3 linked regions of the Nothobranchius furzeri genome follow. The protein of the gene in region 3 interacts with the protein of the main gene of each other region in a biochemical or structural test. Links are inferred from orthologs where the notes say so. Each region holds a gene or a part of one and is shown on either strand. Other genes may lie near its edges. The genes, in order: kcna4, adrb1 and disks large homolog 4.

Region 1 (3,751 bases), on a different chromosome or scaffold from region 3:
TGTCTGTGTGCACTCTGACGCGTGCGTAAAGCCTGTGTTTGGGGAGGGTTGGGGAGGGGATTCCGCTGCTGTTGAGCAGAAAGTGTCTCTACAAGATGCTTTTCTTCTTTGGAAAACAAAACAATACCACTAATAATAATAAACTACTGTAATCACACGTCAGTCTGAATGGATTTAGAGTTAGTACTGTTTTTCCTGCTTATGTCTGTGCCGTTTCCTTTACTGGGGCTCTTGTCCAGCCCGCACAGCGACTCCGTCACCCCTTCCTCCATCTCCATGTACTCCGCTTTGTCACCCAGCGATGAGCCAGAGGGTGAACCTTTGAATTTTCTTAGAAAGTCAGGGAAATAAGGGCATCCCGGGGGCATGCTCTCCACCACGGCGGGCGGCTGGTCGTCGTTATCCGTCTCTCGGTGGTAAAAGTAGTTAAAATTGGACACTATGACAGGCACCGGCAGCGCGATGGTTAACACGCCCGCGATCGCGCACAGCGAACCAACTATCTTCCCACCAACAGTGATGGGCTTCATGTCACCGTAGCCAACCGTCGTCATGGTAACCACGGCCCACCAGAACGCGTCGGGGATGCTCGTGAACTGAGAGGTGGGTTCGTCCGCCTCAGCGAAGTACACCGCGCTGGAGAACAGGATTACGCCGATGACCAGGAAGAAGATGAGCAGAGCCAGCTCCCTCATGCTGGCGCGCAGCGTGTGACCCAGGATCTGCAGCCCCTTGGAGTGTCTGGACAGCTTGAAGATGCGGAACACCCGAACCAGGCGGATTATTCTCAGGATGGCGAAGCTCATGGTGTGCTGCCCGTTGCCCTGGTGCTGCGCCAGATCCGTGCCAAGAGTTATGAAGTAAGGCAAAATGGATACAATGTCTATCGTGTTCATAATGTTTTTAAAGAAAGCTGTTTTGCTCGGACTTGCAAAGAAGCGCACTATAATCTCAAAGGAGAACCAGATGATGCAGACCGTCTCCACGATGAAGAACGGGTCGTTGAAGGGTGTGAAGCCGTGGTCCGGCTGAGAAGAGTTGTGTCGTGGCTGCAGGTACTCTTTTTCATCCCTGAACTCTGGCAGCGTCTCCAGGCAGAAAATGACAATAGAGATGACGATGACCAGGACGGACACCACCGCGATGCCCCGGGCAGGACTCGAGCTCTCCGGATACTCGAACAGCAGCCAGATCTGGCGCTTGAACTCGTCCTCCGGCAGAGGCTTTTCCTCCTCTTTCACAAAACCCTCATCTTCCCGAAACTTGAGGATCGCCTCCTCGCCGAGTTCGTAAAACTTCACCTCCTCTGAGAAGATGTCAAACGGCACGTTCACGGGTCTTTTTAAGCGCCCCCCTGACTGGTAGTAGTACAGGATGGCATCGAAGCTCGGCCGGTTTCGATCGAAGAAGTATTCGTTCCTCAGCGGGTCGAAGTACCTGATGCGCTTGTCGGGGTCTCCCAGCAAGGTGTCTGGGAACTGAGTGAGAGTCTTGAGCTGAGTTTCAAACTTCAGCCCCGACACGTTGATGACCACCCGCTCGCAGCAGCCGCACTCGCTGTAAACGTTCTCGTAGCCGGACTGAGGGCGCCGGTCGGTGATCGACACCGTCTCCTCATCATCCATGTTGCACAGAAAACTCGACCTTTTGCTGCCTCGAACCCCCTCTGCCGCCTCCCCTTCTTCCTCCTCCTCTTCCTCCGCTCCCTCGGCCTCCTCCTCCTCCTCCTCTATCATGATGTCCTCCTCGGATCCGAGCAGCGCCAGCTCCGAGTGGCGCAGGTCCCCGCCGAGAGTGCTCCGGTTGCGCCTCCACCGTCCGACGCCGCGCTGCTTTTTCCGCTCTCTGAGAACTCTGTGCTGCTGCTCGGGTTCCTGCTGATGCTGGGAGGAGGAGGAGGAGGGGCGCGAGGCGGCGCTGCTGCTGATGTTCGCGGAGGAGGAGGCGGCGCGAGACTGATGCTGGCGATTGTTAAGGAGATGAGCGCTCGAGGAGGCGGTGGAGGTGGACCCCCCTACACCACCGCCTCCACCACCTCCTCCTCCTCCTCCTCCTCCCTCCGCACCAGAGCATCCTTCGGCCGCGGCCGCTGCAGCCGCCGCTCGCGACTGGGCAGCCTGGCGCTCCCTCTCGCGCTCCCTTTCCCGTGCGCGAGCTTGGGCATATCCGTAAGGCAGGTGACTGTTGCACCCTCCGTCCGCACCCACCATCGCAAATTCCATTTTCAGTCGATCAGCGGCGCAGTAAGCGCCACGACAAGGTGTGGATGCAGAGCAGGGGAGAAAAGTTGCAGTTCGGCGCGCGCAGAGACGCGAGGGCACGAGGCATCAACCGTTCCCGGGAATAAGAGAAAGTGAGAACAACAAACACTCCTCAGAAAGGTCCATATTGGGTAGCTTCTTACATGATAGAAGATAATGGTCGTGGCTCGAGCACCCAAGATTTTATGACATCATTAGAAGCAAAATATAAACATAAGGATAATACAAATCCAAGGGCCAGTGGCATAGCCTGTTACGCAGACGCTCTGTCAAACTTGCAGCGCCGCTTTATGTGTTCATAAATCACCGAGTCAACAAGCGACACCAAAACAGTCTCTCCTCCGTTTCTCTGGTGGCCATCAGGTGGCTCATTCCCCCACGACCGAGGGTTTGCGCTCAAACGCGTCCTTTAATCCTCCGTGGTCACCCGTGGTTGCCATTTTATGAGGTGAGATCTATATTTGTGTTTCATTTGGATGGATCTCCGCTTTATTCTGGAGCTCCGATGAATCCGAATGACTTTTCCTCTCAGAAGCTGCGAGAAAAGGAGAGGATAGGATTTAGACAACAACACGAGAGAAAGGGACGTGTTAATATTAATGATCGCTGTGCATATTACGAAACTTCACACGCTTATTATTATTATTATTATTATTATTATTATTATTATTATTATTATTATTATTATTAATATTAATGCTTGGACGGCATTAACAAAACACGTTTCGCACGAAATCCTCTCACTAAGCACCATTATTTCATCCTGACATCCATACTTACATCCGTAAAGGGCCAAAAGAGCCTCAGCCCTCCTAAAAACACATTTGTTGGAAGATGATGAGGAGGCGAGGATACAGATTTTCTTCTGCGCTCAAACCTTCGTCTTGATTGTGAGGCGTGATAATCACAAATCCGTCTCCGTCTCCAACGGGCGACCATATCCACATCCAGCATATGCATCCGTGCTCTGACGCACTCTGAGGAGGGCACTTTTTCCGGCTGCGTGCATGTCGACGTGTTGTCTCAATTCAACAGGATCTGTTGGCACTTGAGCCTCAATTTCTGCGGCACCGCTTCTGGGGAATCAGGTGTTCACGCAGCGAGTTGGCATCTACGATGGCTCCACGCGACCGCGAGCAGAAGAAAACGAGGGTGGGTAAAAGTTTACCTTGGTTCGGGCGGAAAGGAACGGCCTCAGTCTGAGCATCACACATCTGTCTGTCTGCCGCTTTAGCTCTACCTATCTCCTGTATCCCTCCCATTGTGTGTGTGTGTGTGTGTGTGTGTGTGTGTGTGTGTGTGTGTGTGTGTGTGTGTGTGTGTGTGTGTGTGTGTGTGTGTGTGTCGTGTACTGCAGCGCGCAGGCGGCGCTCGGTCCTCCCCCAGTGGACGCAGCCGGTACTGCGTACCTGCTGCAGTCTCTCATCCACAATTATCTGCCCTTCAGCATGCCTCCATGGTGCCAAACTGACTTTTTTTCCTCAACAAAA
Region 2 (3,751 bases), on a different chromosome or scaffold from region 3:
TTATTTTTATTTTCACAGACGTCAAAGCACCACCTTAAAACAGCTGGTAAAGCCGGAGACAGACAGAGGCTCGAGATTCCTCATTCCACACCACAAAATGCGCAATTATTGACCCCTCACTTGGTTATGTTGTAAAAGAACGCACCGAATAAATAAAAACACTTATTTTACATTATGTTTAATATAAACAAGTACCTGCCGTATAAATTGCACCGGCCTGTGAGGTAATTAAGAGCTTATTGGCATCCACGTTATGCGCGTTTTGGAGCGCCTCAGAGATCATTTTAGGAACACATTGTTTCCCATTATGAACAAAGGTATCAGCAAAACGTGATTCTTTTAATATTATAGCCACCTGGTCGACAGATCTGGAGTAAAAAGTCGCATCTGCAGTAATAAATCACCTTAAGGCTCGTGCGCTTTTGTGGAAAAAGCGCTTTGTGTTCTGTGAGCGCAAACCTTCGATTTTGGATTTATCGCATCGATGAATTAAGACCAAGATCTTTAACTGATTGTACAGACAACTCCACTTACAGCGAATGGTTTGGATTTTACGCGCATCCTTTCCTGTTTGTATATATTTTTAACTCTCCATCTGGATGGTTTTATTTATTTTCTTCACAGTTGTGATTCTGAGTGGGACAGTTTCGCTGTCCCCAACAGGCTGCTGTCGCTGTTGTCCAGGACGGCGCAGTCCGACCACATCTCCAAGGTCCCGGGCTCCAGCGCGGACACGAACCCGCCGGAACAGCGGGACAGGTCGCAGGAGCTGATGTGCAGCCTGCGGTCGGCTTGTCTCGGGCAGCACAGCAGCCTCTTGAAAGCCTTCCTGAAGTCCGGACTCCGGCAGTAGATGATTGGGTTAAAGGCCGAGTTCACGTACCCCAACCAGTTCAGGAACACGAAGAGGTTCTTGTCCACCACCTCTGCGCTGAACACCCGCACCACGTTGACTATGAAGAAGGGCAGCCAGCACAGAGTGAAAGTCCCCATGATGATGCCCAGCGTCTTGAGCGCCTTCTGCTCCCTCAGCGCCAGGATCTTGGACGGCCTCTTCTTGCACTTGGAGGTGAGTCCAGTCAGGGTGTTGTGAAACCTGCCCTCGCACTTGTCGATCTTCCTCAGCTGCTGCTTGGCCTCTCTGTACACCCGTGCGTAAACGAAGATCATGACCAGGAGAGGAATGTAAAAAGATATGATGGATGAGGAGATGGCGTACGCCCGGTTGGTGACAAAGTCGCAGCACTCCGGGTTCTCGTAGCAGGCTGTGTCCACGTTGTCGCGGGACCAGTGCATCAGGATGGGCAGGAAGGAGACCAGCGCAGAGATGGCCCACACCACGCACACCACCGCCTTTGCGCGAGCCTTGGTTAACAAGCTCTGGTAGCGGAAAGGTGAGGTGATGGCCACATACCTGTCTATGGCGATGACGCACAGGGTCTCGATGCTGGCGGTGACGCACAGCACGTCCACGGAGATCCAGAACTCACAGAAAAAGGAGCCGTAGAGCCAGGAGCCGCGCACCTCAAGCGCGGCGCCAAATGGCACCACCAGCAGCCCCATGATGAGGTCCGCGCTCGCCAGCGACACGATGAACACGTTGGTGAGCGTCTGCAGCCTCTGCGTCTTGGCTATGGCCACGATCACGAGGATATTCCCGAACACGATGGACACGACGATCAGACCCATCACCAGGCTCATCCCCGCCATCCACTGCTCCGACGCAGGTGAAGCGGAGCCCGGCGCCTCGCTCCCCGTGCCATTGTGGAGGTTCACCGGTGAGAACGCACCACCGTTCCCCATGACGGGCTGCTGCTCTGTGAGCTGGACCAGCTCGGTCTCATCCAGGCAGCGCTGTGCGGCGTTCACGCAGCTCTCATCCCATCGCGCGCCGACTCCACGGAGTGTTTTAGCTTCTCTCTCTGGATCTGCGCTCGAAACCGCGCCGGCCTGGACAGCGAGGTAGGCGGTGACATCACCGCTCATCACGGCCAATCAGAAAGTCCAGGGGACCCGCGGTCCCAGCGGTGAGGATCAGGAAACAAGCTGCACCTGAGAAAAGCAGACTTCCAGTCTTATTTTGCATGCACTGGACAGTTACTGAACATTCGCGATATTCTGATGAGAAATTGACCCATGAATTTCTTATCCTGCAAAACCCCACACTGTGGGAAAACGGTGCACCAAATATGGGAAACATCACAATGGTCCAGAGGGAATTCCCTCCTGTCACCACTTGCTATCACGTCCAGAACTTGTTTTTCTCCTTATATTTTTATCTCTGAGAATACATTCCTTAAACATGAGACTTGACCCAACACAGACCTGCAGACTGGCCTCACAGCTGCATAAAGAAGCGTTTGGCTCACAACCAGATTTTATTAAATGCATCAATGTAAAGACTCACCACTGTCCCACTTGAGTTTGTTTTAAATAAACTGGTCACTCTGCACCTGCTCAGCTGTTTAATTAATGTTAATGAGAGAATATGTGAACTACCTGGATCCGTCCTGTCTTGTATCATTGCTGCAGCGTGGTACAATGGTGTGGGGGAGATGTTCTTGTCCCACTCTGGACCCCCAGTGCCACCTGAGCCTGGTTTAAACACCACAGACTACCATGTCCATCCATGACCACGTGGACCCTAACCCATGCTACACTTTCAGCAGGATAAAGCACCATGTCACGAAGATCATCTGGTTTCATGACCATGAGTTCACTGGACTCCAACCATGTCCACAGTCAGATCTCAGTCCAGAACATGTGGGATGTGGTGGAACAGGAGACTCCCATCATGCAGCTGTGTGATGCTGTCATGTCAATATGGACCATAACCTTTGAGCTCTGAGTGATTGTACACCTTAGTCCACATCAGATGTGTAAATTTCCACCGGCCTCATGACAAACAGTCTGCACAAAAATGGAAAACAACAAAACTTTGTTTGTTTTTATGTGGACGATTTACGCTCCCGCCCATGAACCCAGCGACCCCACAGCTGAGGCTGCAACACAACCCGACCCAACACAACGAAGAGAAGTCAACATTCCCCCTTGACCTTTATGAGCAGCAGGATGCTTTTATTTTTTTCTTTTTTGACCTTGAAGTGTGGAGGCTGAAGCAAAGCCTTTTGATTATGATGTTTTTCCCTGCTGGCTTTTTGGTGGAACAATTAAGCGTCACACATTTGGAACCAGTAAAGGGTTAAGTCATTTCCTGTTCTCAGTGTTTTCCCTTCATTTGCACCATTAGAGGCAGAAACTTCTGATGAAGCAGAGAAAATAACCCAAGAACGGTACTCATGCATCACCGAGAGGAATATTAAATATTTCTCTTTGTGATGAAGTTGTTATGCATGGGTAACACCAACTTCTGATTCTGGAAAAACATTTAAACACACAGTTTTTACATACATGTGAGCTGAGCACAGAATAAATTAAGCTTAGAATGAAGTAATAACAGCTCTATTCTTGACTGTTTGAAATATTATGTAGTCAGCTGAAAGATTTTTAAGTGAAACACCCTAAAAATATTTCAATCTTATGTTTTGTTTTCTCAAATGATTCTGGTGTTTGTGACGGAGTCAGAGAAAAGGGCTGAAAGTTCCTTCAACATATTGTTAATTTTTCCTTGAATAAATGCAAAGAGCCACATTTTACGTTTATTATGTTAATGTATTTAGCAGACGCTTTTATCCAAAGCGACTTACAGTTTATAACCTATAGGGCATGTTGTGATCTGTGGGGGAAACCG
Region 3 (3,651 bases):
CATTGTAGCCACAGCTGCCCTGAGGCACACTGACAGAGGCAAGTCTGCCGTACACAGACGCCAACTGTCCCTCCAACCAGCAGGCAAGGTGGGTCAGGTGCCTTGCCCAAGGACACAACGACAGCAAAAGACTGAGCGGGGCTCGAACCTGCAACCTTCTGATTACGGCAAGCACTTAACTCCTGTGCCACCGTCGCCCATAAAATAGAGGGCACTTGTCTGACCTGGAGAGGAGGTGCGTTCCACAGTTTTGGGGCACAGATGGAAAAAGCCCTTTCCCCACAGGTCTTCAAGCGTGCCACAGTGAGGAGGAGCTGATCTGCAGAGCGTGAGGAGGGTGGTAGAAATGGAGGAGTTCGCTTAAATAGGGAGCGGTCTGACTGTTCAATGATTTAATTACAAGAAGCAAAATTTTGAAATTGATCCTGAACTGAACAGGCAGCCAATGGAGTGATTTAGGTTTGGGTGTAATGTGCCGTCTTCTGTCAGCTCCAGTCAGAAACCTTGTTGCTGACGTCTGGACGAGCAGCTTTACGGATGCCTTACAAGCAGGAGTTGGAGTAATCTAGCCGGGATGTAATGAAGGCATGAATCACCCATTCTGACATAATGATTATTATTACATTTTATTCATATATGAAGTTATGAAATAGAAAAACACCTTCTTCACTCACATTTGATCAGACTCAAGGATGTTATTTAAACCTGAATATCAAAATTCAGCACATCAGCTCTAGCCTCCAACAGCGCTTTCATTTGTTATGACACCAATGATCAATTTTCCCCTAAAAAATCCTCACGACCGTGTGTGTGTGTGTGTGTGTGTGTGTGTGTGTGTGTGTGTGTGTGTGTGTGTGTGTGTGTGTGTGTGTGTGTGTGTGTGTGTGTGTGTGTGTGTGTGTGTGTGTGCACAAGCAGCAGGGGAAGCACTGCATCCTGGATGTGTCTGCTAACGCTGTCCGTAGACTACAGGCAGCTCAACTTCACCCTATCGCCATCTTTGTTCGGCCCAAGTCGCTGGAGAATGTTCTGTATGTATTCACAACTCCTCAAATGCAGCATCAGCAAAAACGTGCTATGGCAACAACTGTGTGTGTGCGTGTGTGTGTGTGTGTGTGCGTGCGTGTGTGTGTGCTAACAGAGAAATCAACACTCGTCTGACAGAGGAGCAGGCCAGGAAAGCGATGGACAGAGCCCTCAAACTAGAGCAAGACTTCCTAGAGTGTTTCTCAGGTGGGAATGCTGTTATCACAAAGATGTGACTATTTTACCCATTTGGCTTTTGTATTTAATTTCGTAGAACATAACATTTACACTCAAGTGTTAAAGATCCAAATAGCCCTGAAGCTAAAGACAAGTGGGAGGTAGATTACACCAGATGTGATTTGGTAAAAATAAAATAAAATAAAAAATAGATTCACTGTTTTGTTCATTTTTCTTCTGTTTTGTTAAAAATTTGTATAAAAACAAACTTCTACTAATAGAAATCCTGATCCTTCCAGCATATTTTTACAGATTAGCAAACTTTTACAGTTTAAAGTTGAACTTGATAAGTTTTCCAGTTCGCCCTTTACTGGTTGGAACAACAAGCTAATGCTAACAGATATTAAATAAGCCTTAAAAGAAAAAGATCTACACTGCTTGACAAAGCAAATATCATTACTTACAAAGAAGCTAGGTCACCATCAGTCTGTGATTTCTTATGTTTCCAATGTTCACTCTAGTTTAGTTCCTTGCTTCCCCTCTCAAAAGCAAACTGGTAGCCTTTAAACTAGCTACCAGCACAGTAAACAGCTATTGCCGTAAAGGTTGGTTTATGCTTGACGCATCTGCGAGGTCCGCACGGCTCCGCGCGGCCCAAAATTTCCGCAACGCGCACCTAGGAAATTTTCTAACCACGCGGACGGTCGGACGCGGAAAAACATGGCGGACTGGCAGAGGTTCGTAAATACAGACATTTGTATGATTCAGCTCTCAGAGATCACCGTGATCAACATGTTGTTAATAATTCTTGGAGAGAAATAGCTCGCACTGTCGGAAAAGACGAGGACGCTGTTAAAAAATGCTGGAATGCCATGTTGTAAACAGTAATTTTTACTTCTACAATGGTGTAGTGTTGGATGCATGCCATAGAGCTCCATGCTGCCCCATTCAGTCTGGGAGAATACTGGCTCACCGCAGAGATGAGCCGCATGAACCATAAACGCTGCGAGTTGTAAAGCGCGTTCCAGCCACGAGCCGCATCACCAAGCGGAAAGTAAATGCGTCAAGCATAAACCAAGCTTAATGCAAGCAGAGACAGCCCCCCCCCTCCCCCCACTAGTGTTCCTGTCCAACCACAAAACTGTTAAGTGCAGATTCCGGTCAGCAGAAGGCGACAGAGTGCTGTCCAATGTGAAGCTGGTGAATGTTCTCGCTCAAAACCACTGAAACCAGTTTGAAAACAAAAGTGTTTAAAGTGTTAAACACTATCAATTGTTGCTTTAATAGATTTTAATCCCAAGGCATGGGATATTTACGAACAAAAACATGCAAAAAGCACAGAACTTTAAAACGTCTTCCTGAGAGCATTCATGTGGACCATTCAAGTTAGGCAAGAACATTCTGTAAATGTGCACGTCACCCATGATCTTTCATAGAGTTTAAGATCATAATAGCTGTTTTGGTCAGATTTAAAACTAATTTATACAAAATGTCTCCCAGATCTTGGAGTTCATGTGTTCTCTCAGGTCAGACGTTTCTACAGGAAGACAAAAGCTGTTTTGGTTACGTAAACTTTGGCTAATGCACATCAGAGCTGCTGTTTTAAATCACCGTTAGCACTCAGACGTTTAGCACTCACGGCGCTTCTGTTAGGTACGCTTCAAGCTTCATTCATCCACTGATTCATGACTTCCTCCACCCTGAATGAGATGAACGCTTTGAGTCCCACCAGAGTCTTCTGGGATAACTCAGAGATTTTTAATATTTTAGAGATGCATTTAGGGCACATCCCAGCAGCAGATCTCTGACAGATCCAGTGCTGTCTGCGGTTTCTACCACATGCCAGATTGCTGTGGTACGTGACATTGTATCAGACACTGAAAAAGTAAACAAGTTTCAAAATGTGTGGAAACATTTGTAAAAAGATTTTTTTGAATCATTTTTCTAAAAAGTTGCTCCCTAAGTTGTCTACCAAAGGCATCCTTTAATCTTATCATTTTTCTGCCTCCTTCCTTCTGTCGCTGCTCGCTCTTTGATGATTTTCTTCTCTTTTCTCATTTCCTGCTGCAGCTGTCGTGGACGGGGACAGCTTTGAGGAAGTTTATCATAAAGTAAAGACAGTGATTGAGGAGCAATCGGGGCCTTACATCTGGATCCCCACCCGGGAGAGGCTGTGATGCTGCACCCGGCCGACCTCCCCTCACTCTCCTCTCCTCCCCCCTCCACCCTCAAGGCCGAGCCAGCCTCGCCCGCCTGCGAAGTCCTCCAGCGAAGTCGGCGCTTAGGCTGCAAATGACACAGAGACAAAAACAGGAAGTGACCCAGTGAGACAAAGAAGGATACCAAAAACAATAAATGAAGGAAACAGAGACTTTATGACTCGTGTAAACACACTGATGTGTAATTAAACTGAAAGAGACAGAGAGAAAATATTTATCTGTATTCCAC

Evidence for each region.
Region 1: the proteins of disks large homolog 4 (region 3) and kcna4 form a complex in vitro, tested with the Homo sapiens proteins (8 studies listed by BioGRID and IntAct, with this or other methods). The link is inferred for Nothobranchius furzeri from reciprocal best matches to the Homo sapiens genes DLG4 and KCNA4.
Region 2: the proteins of disks large homolog 4 (region 3) and adrb1 form a complex in vitro, tested with the Homo sapiens proteins (2 studies listed by BioGRID and IntAct, with this or other methods). The link is inferred for Nothobranchius furzeri from reciprocal best matches to the Homo sapiens genes DLG4 and ADRB1.

Annotation. Positions count from the first base shown.
Region 1 is NC_091749.1:47,038,628-47,042,378, forward strand, and holds kcna4 (potassium voltage-gated channel subfamily A member 1), read right to left. Parts: upstream 2,411-3,751; 5' UTR 2,223-2,410; coding exon 153-2,222; 3' UTR 6-152; downstream 1-5. UniProt on the Homo sapiens protein: Voltage-gated potassium channel that mediates transmembrane potassium transport in excitable membranes. Forms tetrameric potassium-selective channels through which potassium ions pass in accordance with their electrochemical gradient.
Region 2 is NC_091756.1:38,265,813-38,269,563, forward strand, and holds adrb1 (beta-1 adrenergic receptor), read right to left. Parts: upstream 2,695-3,751; 5' UTR 1,987-2,694; coding exon 619-1,986; 3' UTR 163-618; downstream 1-162. UniProt on the Homo sapiens protein: Beta-adrenergic receptors mediate the catecholamine-induced activation of adenylate cyclase through the action of G proteins. This receptor binds epinephrine and norepinephrine with approximately equal affinity.
Region 3 is NC_091750.1:46,519,690-46,523,340, forward strand, and holds part of disks large homolog 4, read left to right. Parts: intron 1-918; coding exon 919-1,031; intron 1,032-1,141; coding exon 1,142-1,233; intron 1,234-3,273; coding exon 3,274-3,380; 3' UTR 3,381-3,651. UniProt on the Homo sapiens protein: Postsynaptic scaffolding protein that plays a critical role in synaptogenesis and synaptic plasticity by providing a platform for the postsynaptic clustering of crucial synaptic proteins.